Drosophila melanogaster: one gene and its partners. The protein of the gene in region 1 interacts with the protein of each later gene in a pairwise test. Each region holds a gene or a part of one and is shown on either strand. Other genes may lie near its edges.

Region 1 (3,754 bases):
ATCACATCGTCTGGTAAATTCCGAGTGGCCAAAATACAACCTGGTGATTCGGATGGTGCTGGCAGCTCTGACGACGATGGACCCAGCACTTCAAAGGCTCCTCGGTTGACTGCAAAGCAAAAACGCTCCCTGGAGCGCAGTCAGAAACGCAAGAAGATTGGCAGCAACTTTTACGAGACGACAAATGTTAAGAATCGCAATAGAAACAAAAAGAAGGACGCGTAAAATATTACGTTTACACTCTAGGCTATATTTTCTTGCAAGGAAAAACTACACTTTAAGAATCCAAATAAAAAGTTGATCCTACTCTGAGCACTGCTTCTTCTTGGGAATTTTGCGGCCACATAAGTCGGTTCGGCTGCACATACTGGGTTCCTCCTCATCGGTGCTGGCCTCCGAGTCACTAGACTCCGTGTAGGAGCCGATGCCCGGAAGTATAGCGATGCACTTTAGGGCCCCCTGGTTGTATTTGTTTGTAATTAATGTGGTGTTCGTTGTCTTATCAGCAGGGTCCTTGGTTGCTTCATTTGTCGCTGTCTGTTCGACCTCATTCTCAGTGATTTTGGCTACTTTACTGGTGGTGGGCAGTTCGCCGTTTTTTCTCTTGATGCCCTGGCCGAGCAGCGTCTTCTGAGTGCTACGCCCGACCGAAGCTCCCGCGGACTTCGCTGTGGTTTTTAGTTCAGCTTGCAGTTTCTGAGGGTTGCGGAAGTTCGGGTGATTGTAAAATCAATTGATTGTTGCTGTAACTTTACCCACCTTGTCTACACTCTCCTCCTGCAGCTTTTCCACACGATTGCGAAAATCCTTTAGTTCTAGCTCCTCGTCGCGCATTTGCTGGCGCTCCGCGTGTATTTTATGGGCATCGACCAATTCCAGAAACTGCACCTCATCATCGTCCAGACCACGGATGAGGTTTTCTATACGTATATTACGCATGTTAGGATGGCCAGATTGCATTGTTTATGGCATAGTCTTACTCAGCTTGTGGGCTTCCTCGAACTCCATGTCCTTCTTGTCCTTATTTTGTTTGAGGCGTTCATAAAGTGAGCGCCCATCGTAGGGTTCCTCAGGTCGTTCTAGTGGATCCTCCGGCTGGCGTACACGCTCCCATTCCTCCTGACGTCTCTGCCTTTGCTCGGTCGCCTCAGCTTCAGTCACAAAGCCCGAACTCATGCTGTACTTTCGTAAAATTGCTCTTTTTTACAGACCACAACTATTGCCAGTGTGGTGAACGTCGAATTAGCAGCTGTGCGATGATATAGAAGTGTTGGTAGTGGCTCGTGAAAATTTGAACTAGTGGCGGGAATTGCTAATGCTTCTGTGTCATTTTAAGTTAAACGTTGAAAAACTTTCCAAGTCCCACTAAAATGAACTATCCTTATAAACTCTTTTAATATGACAGCGCCTTACTCTACCAACTGGAACACTGGGGCGACCACGGGCCCTAAGCCTGGCTCGATTTATTTCGGCTATCTGCACAAAAACTGATTTTTGGGCGGTTGTCATTTCTCGCCATTTTCTGCCGGCTATTTTGGCCAAGGAAATCGGTTTCAGATGGCAAATGTCCCGCTTTTGAAGATTAATCCGAAAGTGGTCAAAGAAAATAAAGTAGGGATTAGCGGATGGGAACTTGCTTGGTCGCATTGTCCATGGTAAAGGCGAGACACTCATCCGGAACATTCTGAAATTTTGAAAATTCTTCCTCAGGTAAATCGAAACAAATACCCTTCACATGAAAATCACTGGTTACATGACTTTATTTCAGGAATATCTCAATAGGAAACATCTATATAGGATGGGGCTTTGCTAAATTCTCCAATAAAGAGCTACAGGATTAGCAAAATACACGATATTCATACACACATATGCAGGCGTTTTAGGTGAAGACGGTTTCTCGTATTTTGTTTATACATCCATAAATTCTCGGTTCGTCCGTTTCCAATGTATATACTTAGTTTATAGACATAATTGAGGTCAGCACACTTACAACGAACAGCAAATAGGTAATACGACTGATTCTGAACTTCGCCGTGATTGAGTATACATTATAGGATAATACTGTTAGGATTGGGTCCGGATCATGATGTATCCGAATCTACAGGATGCTGCAGGAGCTTTTCTCGCGAAACGGATTCACCTTCTGTGTGAAGCCGCTGAGCAGGCAGTCTTCCTCCTCGTGCTCCAACATGTACTTCATCATCAAGGAGCATGCCACCGAGACGGGCATACGCTCCATCTCCACTTCCCGCCGTAGCTGCAAGTTGATGGAGCGCTGCTGTTGCAAATTAGCAGCCATTATGTCCAGGACGGCTGTCTCCGCGAGACCTATGGTGGTTGCTGGGATGCTAATACTGCTGTAATATTGATTTGATTCAATTTGAGTTGTGCTTATTTCGATTTCCCCAATATTGTAAGCGAGAAATATGCGCTCTACTTCTCGATGAAATATTTTATTGGGGGCGCTGAAAAATCAATATTTATAAAAAGTGTGACCGCGTTGAGAATGGTGCTTTAGTTTTCCGACTTTTGCCAGCCGTTGGTGAAAGCTTCTTGTTGGTGTGGGGAAAGATTTCACAGTTTTTGAATCTTGGAATAACTATAAGCTTTCATAAATTGTATCAATATATGTCCTATTGGCTATAGATTTTTTTTATCAATGTTTTGTACACCGTTTATTTTATTTATTGCAAAAATATATAGTTTACAACTGTTTTTATTTAAAGTTAATTATGTGAGCATGCTGGAAATAAAAATGAAATTATGAGTAAAATTAATTAGGTGATGTTTCTAAAAACTTACTCTGGCATAAACTCTGTCGACTGCTTAGCATGCGCCTCCTCCGGATTCAGGTTCAACTCCTTGGTAATGTCTGAGTCCGGTTTCCGGAATGCATTGGCCATAATCAGAATGTTCTTGGCTATTCTTTTCTGATCGATTCGCTTTTGAGCCGTATCTGTCCGTCTATTAGCGTTCTCCGACATCCGCTGCTCTATTGGTAAATCTGGTCCTGGTGGAGATTGGAGCGGTTCTGGATTTGTCCAGATCTCAGTGCCAGGTGTTTCCTTTCCTGTCGTTGGGGATATGGCCGGACGTGCTGGTATCAATGGGGAACGCACACAGACTCTGTAAAAGAATATTAATAAACATTAAATCATAATTTAATCATAGTGTTTTTACTTTGTAATGAAAAATGTAGAGAAGCTACGAGCTTCATAGGAACAAAAACAAACTTTTATTACAAATCCTTACATGACTAGTCACACTCTTGGCTTGTTTTTTTTTAACATTTACGAATACATTTTACATAAAACTGGTTAAAAAGTAGAAAACATTCGATATATGTATATAGGTAATATTTCACTCCTTATTCGGCTGGACCTTCTGGCTTGGCTCACTGTCCTCATTCCCGTTCGGATTCGACCTAGAACGAGTCAGAAATGGGAGAGAACAATGAGCCAGTCCTGGAGAAGGAATCAAAAACCAGTTCAAGACTTAAAACTATCGTTCCGACCCGAATTCAACATGCAAAGCATCCCACTTACTTATTGACATCCTCCAGCTTCTTAAGCAGGCGCTCGTTTTCTCGGCAGACTATCTCCTGATCCCTAAGAATGGTTTCCCGCACGGTGAACAGATGATTATTCTCCTGCCTCAGGGATTCGTTCTCCACCATGTATAGCTTAACAAGCTCGGCGAGTTCGGAGCCATCAAGCTCCGGTAATCGCTGCAAATCAACTTTGGGCACTGGTAC
Region 2 (3,617 bases), on another chromosome or scaffold:
TATTTACCAGAGGAACGGCCAAAGGATACCGGTTCTGAGGCCTCCAATTCCGACAAATTTCTCACCTACGTGAGCGAGAACACATTCATATTTCCCAACGGCATGATGGAGTGCGCGGTGTGCGGCGATGTGGCCAAAACCTTGCTGGAGCACCAGAGCCACATGACCGCGCACTATGGACCTGGTGCTCTGTGCTTTCGCTGTGGTCAGCGTCTGGACCACCAGAAACAATTGAAGCAACACAGTCTGAGCTGTCCCGCTCTAGCGCCCAGGAAGTCATCGATGCTCTTTAAATGCCCACATCTACTCTGCAACGCCATGAGCCACTCAGAGATGCAGTTGCTCAGGCACCTGAGAAACCATAGCGGCAGGAAGTGCTACAGATGTCTTCAGTGCAAACGTTACTTCAAGACCACCACCTCTCTTTTGGTACACCGAAAAAAAGAACAGAGTTGTGCCAAGGCGAAAGTGGTCGTCCTATTTCGCGAACACAACGGGTTGCCCAATGGAAGAGGTGATCCCAGACGTTGCTCAGTTTGCTTGAAGCGTTTCAGCAGCGAGCGGGTATGCCTGCGGCACCGGAGACAGTGCATCCTTGGCCATTTTAGACGGCTGTCCAGGGTCCTCAAGAAGGAGCTATGAACAGCGTATAGAAATCTTGACCTAGCTGGTATTTATTAGTACATAGAAATCGATAACAATAAAGCGAATAGATCCTACGAAGCCTGGACGCCGTGAGCCTTTTTCAGTCCCTGGAACAGCATCAGTTTCTCCCGGTTAACTTCCTTAAGCGTCTGCACCGCCAGCTCCAGTTGCACCTTCTTCAGCGCATGTTCGCTGGCGATGTACTGCTCAATGAACTTCAGGCTGATCTCATCGGCGGCGAAATCGTGCTCCGTCTTGCCAATGGCCGTATGGATCTCCTGCTCAATGTTCTGCTTATTGTCATGTCGTCGGAAGACGCTTCTTAGCTCCGCCAGGGCACTTTCCGCCGGCGTGGCATGCAGTTTGCCCAGTTCGGTCAGCGTTGCCTGATACTCCACTGGGATGTTGTGTAGCTTGTAGCTCAGAGCAATCAGCTCCACGGCATTGTGCAGATAATCCCGACGGATCATGTCATACAGCAGGTCGTCGATGCAGCGGTGCCAAGCGTAGAAGAAGGCCATGGGTCCAAAGTGGCGGGTGGAGCGCAGAAGATCGAACTCCTTGGACTCGTTGAGATGCTCGAACACACGCGCTGAAATGTTGTGGAACTCCGGCTCATGTGGCTCGTACTGCACCAAGAGTCGATCCAGGATGAACTCGTACTTGTGCTCCGCCAAGCACTTGGCCAGCAGCTCCTCCAGCGCGAACATTCGTGGAGTATATGACTGGCGACCCTCCAGCGGGAAATACAACTGGTTCATGCGCTTCGTGGTATCAAGAGTGGCGTAGGCCAAGGTTCCGTCCATATCCCGGACGATTACCTTGCGTTCCGACTGCCGTCGGCCGAAGGTGATGTCCGTGAATACGAACTTGGAGTTGGCGAAGTCCTTCAGCGCCGTATCCTTGGCTATCACCCGCTCCACATCTTTTTTGATCTGCACAATGGGTGGCATTTGCAGAATTTGCTGAGCCCGCACCACCAAGTTCTGGAACTCGTTGTCCAGCTGCTCGTTGCTCATGAACTTCGTTTCGCTGCTGTTGTCCGGCACCGTGCGCTTCCGATACACCTTGTCCAAGTTCAGTTGCGTCATGGACTGGAGCAGCCGCTGGGTTTCGGCATCCGTGAAAAGCGGCTGCGGATCGCGCTCGTACTGCAGGGCGGCGGGCTTGGTGGGCGCCGAGGACACCTGCCGGATAGCTTGGCGCACTCCTTGGAGGCCATTCAGCTGGCGCAGGCTCCGCAGCAGGTGCATTTTCAGTCAGTAAATCAGGCACAAAAATACACGAGACGGGTGTAGAAATTAGTGAGGGCAGCACGGTGTTTTCCAACACTGCTTGCTAGTAATGACAACAGGAATCTTATTTAATTTAATGTGTTTATTCTATTTGTATAATAACTTTTTTAATGCACATGCACATGCGTAATGCGCCTTATTTTTAAATTTCATTCATAATATGCAATATTTGTTTGAAATAGGAAAATAGCAAAATAGGCAACTTTATTATCTACATAAGAATTAAACGATTATTAACTACTTGTTATTGTTCCCATTTTACCAGACGACTCAATTGTATAACTATGAGCAGCTAGTGCCACCGCCTTTAGTATCAAATCGTAATAATCAAGAAAAAAAATAATATAATAATAAAAACGACATTAAAAATTACCGGGAAATTCGGAAGCCAGTTTCATCTCTTCGACATAGGAATACCCCTACTAGCGGCTTATCTCGGGATCTGACTGCGGTCACACTTGACCAATTGCATTTAGCTGGAAAAAAAGCTGCTGGCGAAAATTGGCAATAAAGTGCAGGAGCAGCCCAAGCATGGAACAGGCCGAATTGGGCAGTACGTGCCTTGCAGCGCCTAAGCGCCGCTTCCCGGACAACGAACGTTGTGGGCGGGAGCTGGCCGCCGTGCCCGTGCAGCCAGTGCTGCCACAAATCCCTACCGAGGAGGAGCCGGAGATAAAACAGCGCAAAAGGGAGAAGGAGCATAAGGAATCCCTCGACCGGGAAACGGAGTGCAACCTCATGGACTTCTGTGATGAGCTGCTCTTCGAGATCTTCCAGTACCTGGACACGTCCTCCATTCTGGCGGTGATGCAGTAAGTAGTCCGCTATCAACAAAGATCTCTGCGTCGCTGAGATTTCCATGTCCTTTCCATATTATAACATTCCGTAATATTCCAGTTGCTCGCCGCGCTTTGAAAACCTCCTGCTGGATCACCGCTTCTATCATCACATAGACTTAAGCAACGGGCCCCTGCCTATGGGCATCCTAGAAGAGATTCTTGGACGAGCCACCGAAAAGACACACACCATTAAAATCTGCGGACCTCCGTCCTCGCAGCATGTTGCAGGCGAATTCCGCCAGTTCACCCAAACGCTAAGCTCCGTTTTCCCCAGGGTTGTACAGCTTAAAGTGCTGGAGCTGGAGGGCGTCAGCCTGGACTTCGAATACGTGAGTGCTGGCATCTCGCAAGTTTCCCTGGTCTACCCCAATTTTATCTTTTCTTCAGATACACATAACTGAGTTCCCGGCCACTCTGAGGCGTCTGAAGCTAAAGGACTGTAGCGTTAGGGTCGGCGACACGCCAAAAAGCATATTTTACTCCATAGAGCTGCATCTGCTTGATCTAGAGGTGAGTTTGAGCGAACGACAGTCCAATGAATAGCCTAACCCCGTCTTATTTAGGATCTCAGTATTGAGGACAACAGCTGGTTCGAGCCCTATTATATTATGGGCCTGTCGAAGTTACCTTCCTTGCGGCGTCTTAGTCTTAAGGGCTGTCAGGCGCTATGCAAGTTTGTGCCCTATGGCAGCATGGCGGCACGTTTCGGTTTCCAAAAACTAGAGGTTGGCATAGGTGCAATCGGCGAATATTCTTTATAAAGGGTTATTTATTTCAGTCACTAGATCTTCGCCAGACGCCCATCAACAACTCAGATCTGCAGTGTTTTAGCGCTATC
Region 3 (3,754 bases), on another chromosome or scaffold:
AATTGGTAGATTTGGTAAGCAATATTTAATTCTTGTTTTTTTTTCCAGTTTTAAACAAATATCGAACGCAAAAGAATTTACTATGTGACATTTTGGCGGGCATTTTTAATTCATAGTAACGTTAAGAATTTTCTGAACTGTTAAATCAGAAGGTTGTCTTTTTCGATTGGCCGCATCGAATGCAATAATTTCCACCTTATTAAATGTCTGGGCGCCTGTTTCGATTTTGCGATAGATATCAATCCCCAAAGTAGAACCCATAGTCAATACGTAAAACAAGAAAACAAGCACAGTGTTACCTATTCGGAGCGAATTACTTATAAAGATTTATATTTCACACATTTTTAAGGACATTTTCCGTATGAGGGGCGCCCGTGTTATAAATTTACATTAGGAAATGTTGAAAAAATGTGTCAATGGAGCTCGCCTATTCTTTTTATGCATAGCTATAGCTATTAGTGGAATCTATACAGCATCGGTTTCTTGTATTGTACGCCAATCTCAACATTACATTCTAGACGTAGTACAAATGGATTAATAGTTGATGGTAGTTAGGCTACAGCTATTGTTCAATCACTGCTCTTCAATTAAAGAATTTTGATGTTTGTAAACCGAATTGGAAAATCTTAGCTTTTTGAGTAGCGACAAGAATTGCTGACCGTCCGCTCTACGGGCTGATTATTGATTGAAAAGTAAGATGATGGAAAGGAAAAAAAAAAGTTGAGGCTCGGGCTTCGGAAATACCTAGCCTAATACAGGCTTTCGGTATTTGAGGAGCGCGGCTTCTTTAGCTTCTCGAGGTTCTTAATAACAATGTCGTGCAGCGAGGAGTAGCGATTGCGGACCTCACAAACGACCAGCCACAAGCTGAGGTACTCCTTCTCGTCAAGTTCGACGACTGCGCGCCGATAATCATCGATGTGCGGATACTTGGCCACCTTGGACACCACCTTGGCGCGCGACAAGAAATAGCGCGATATCTGGTCAAAGAAGGCGGCCGCCTCGGATTCCACAGTTTGAATTTCGGCAAGCGTGTCCTCTTGAATGGAGACGCCAAAGTTGTTGCCATCCTCGATCTTGGGTATCATAAAGGAGATCCACATCTTAAGTAGATTGGCTGCAAAAGAAATCAATTCAGAAATTACTAGGTATTCATTAAAAAGCTTAATGTCAGGCAAAACTTTAGCTACTGGCATTTGTACCGTTCGAATGTAAAAATTCTTGGAATTCATTGTTTTAGGAAAATTGAAGGGGCTCTTGAATAGCATAAAAACATTTATTAGGTTGAGACGCTTGAATATACGGTGTACTTACAATCCTCCACAAGCTTCCTGATGATAGGCTTGACGACCTTGATCATCTCGCAGAGCGGCTTGTTGCACGGCACTGTACCGGCGGGCAGACCCATGACAGGCTGCCCAGAGACGATGACATCCACGCGCTGGCGCTTGGTGGGCAGACTGTCACGATCCTCCAACTCGTTTTTAACCAGGAGAGGCGGCAGGACCGGGATGTTGAGGTCCTGGTGCACTTCTTCGAAGTTGCGCTCGTTGAAGATCGGCGTGGCCAGCAGCTCGTTCAGCCGGACGATATTCTCCGGGAACCCCTTGGTGATTAGCAGCTCTGCCTTGAGGATCAACGAGTCCTTGTACTCCTGCACCTTTACCACAGTGTCGTTAGGCATTTCGTTAGCTATGTGGATTCCTTTTCGTGTCCGTGGAAGCCTTTGATCCTGAGTCCTGTCTCCTGGCGTAGTACCGGTTCTTCTCGTTCCTTATCTTCTCAATAACAATCAGCAACGCGGACCGTCTGAAATCGGCGGACTTTTAGGGACTTGTGTCGGCGGATTGCGAAATTGAAAGCGGGAAAACCAGACTTACCGACAAATTTTGATGCCCAAGCAACAACACGCATGTGGTGCTAGAGGTGGAAGAAAAAGAATAATCGATGCTTATCGATAGCGTCGAAGTTTGCAGAAATTTTGCAAATTAATACCCCACAAGTATCTTAAATATCTTGAATGTCAATATATATTTTTTCTATACTTTTTTTAGATTGAAAGTCTTCTAATTACTTTCAGTTTCATAAACAAATTAGCTGAACATTAAAGTTGGCAAAACATATTTAAATGCATTAATGTACATTGCAGTTGGCATCATTTATTTAAATGCAACAGCTGAAGCTCGCTTCTCATTTACCATGTTAAACTTGCATATACTTTGTTGTAACGTGATTAGAATTTAACGGATATATATCATGAAATATAAAGAAATAAGACGCGCGCCATTTATCGATAGTCTTGTGTGCACCGCGTGCCAGACCGATAGATTTGTTTAAATACCAAGTAAGTTTATTATGTCTCCCTTTGTGCAATTTAAAATGTTTTCATTTAAATATCTATATTTTTAAAATATTTTCCATATATATATATTATAAGTAATATTAAGCTATTAATATTTTTAGAGCAAACACGCTATAAATAAGTGTGCCCAAATATAAGTTTTAGTATACATCGGCATTCTTATCAATAATCGTCAAACTGACGTTTTCTCGCTTCACCATTATCGATTCTCATCGATGTTTTTCCAGCTCTATCTAGTTGGCATCTCGTTAGTTGCGATAGTTGGCATGTTACGTGTGTTTTCGGCTTCGTCGCTTCATTCTCGTCTCGTTCTCGTTTCCTTCCTCCTTTATTCCGATTCCTCGTTTTGCGTGTATTGCGCGGTACAACGCATACGAACAAATTTATCCGAAGCGAAATACCGCGTGCAGCAACAAAAGAAAAACACACTCAACAACAACAACACACACGCATGCACACACGCATGCAGTCATTATCGCAACACCAATAACAACAGGAAGAACAACAACAACAAAAACATTTCTAACGCGCTGAAAATTGCGGAGTCCAGCCTTTTATATTTGCTGCATTTGCTATCTAACTTGCCGCACAATTGTTCTGTTCCGTTGACAGCATCAAAAACGCATTGTTAAAAAGAAATTAATATATAAATTTTAAACAAAACACAAAAAAAAACCAAGAAAAGAACGAAAAACGCGTGGGTGCGCGGTCTGTTGATTTTTTTTTTGTGGTTAACAACAACAACAAGAACCATCGGAGGGACGAACATCAAGAACAACCACCGTTAGCAGTAAGCAGGAGAATCAAAATGGTAAGTTTAAGTTAGCTGGCTTTTTTGTTGTTGCCGTCAATAGCATGACTTAATATAAATTTCTTTGTTGCTAAATTTTGACACACTCACATTTACCCACACACACATGCATAAAACAAAAACAAAGCGGCTGCAGAAGCTGATGAAGGAGAATAATAATGAGAAGAAGGAGCAGTAGCCAACTCATTCAATAATTGTTGTTTCTCCTTTTCTTGCGCCTTTCGCTCTTTCCTCGTCCACCCATTTTGTTGTTGTTGCTGTTTTTTTTATCTGCAATTGTTTTCTTCTGTAATTTCTAAGGATGCATTTTATATCGCAGATTCGCGTGGCCTGGAACCATGTGTTTTTCTCTCCCTCTCATACTCCCTCTTAGCGCTCGCCCCTCTCTTTCGTGCACACACGCTGAGTTTAGTTTTGGCGTTTTTTCCCCCGCACACGAGTTAAACGAATTCAGTCGACAAAAGTTGCGCTAGGTTAGGGTTAAGGCCATGCGACTCAGGGGCAACATGTGGGTTAAGACCATGGGCGGGGTATGGGGCTATGGGTCTATGGTGCATCATTGAATTGAGGATGACAACTAT

The links.
Region 2: the proteins of CG14480 (region 1) and mRpS22 interact in a two-hybrid assay, tested with the Drosophila melanogaster proteins (one large-scale study listed by BioGRID).
Region 3: the proteins of CG14480 (region 1) and REG interact in a two-hybrid assay, tested with the Drosophila melanogaster proteins (one large-scale study listed by BioGRID).

What each region holds. Positions count from the first base shown.
Region 1 is NT_033778.4:17,562,330-17,566,083, reverse strand, and holds CG14480 (uncharacterized protein), read right to left. Parts: upstream 1,745-3,754; 5' UTR 1,648-1,744; coding exon of another isoform or gene 1,337-1,647; 5' UTR 1,177-1,336; coding exon 981-1,176; intron 921-980; coding exon 760-920; intron 697-759; coding exon 304-696; 3' UTR 232-303; downstream 1-231. Other genes in the region: Ns2 (nucleostemin 2), read left to right, coding at 1-225; CG46428 (uncharacterized protein), read right to left, coding at 1,366-1,647; CG43324 (uncharacterized protein), read right to left, coding at 2,099-2,299; Klp54D (Kinesin-like protein at 54D), read right to left, coding at 2,731-2,743, 2,803-3,126, 3,546-3,754.
Region 2 is NT_033777.3:27,915,283-27,918,899, reverse strand, and holds mRpS22 (mitochondrial ribosomal protein S22), read right to left. Parts: upstream 1,993-3,617; 5' UTR 1,899-1,992; coding exon 717-1,898; 3' UTR 652-716; downstream 1-651. Other genes in the region: Boh1 (buddy of Hmr 1), read left to right, coding at 1-642; CG5003 (uncharacterized protein), read left to right, coding at 2,472-2,752, 2,838-3,108, 3,167-3,289, 3,343-3,504, 3,558-3,617.
Region 3 is NC_004354.4:13,210,519-13,214,272, reverse strand, and holds the start of REG (proteasome regulator gamma), read right to left. Parts: upstream 1,949-3,754; 5' UTR 1,881-1,948; intron 1,824-1,880; 5' UTR 1,685-1,823; coding exon 1,315-1,684; intron 1,118-1,314; coding exon 750-1,117; 3' UTR 1-749. Other genes in the region: sno (strawberry notch), read left to right, coding at 3,171-3,173.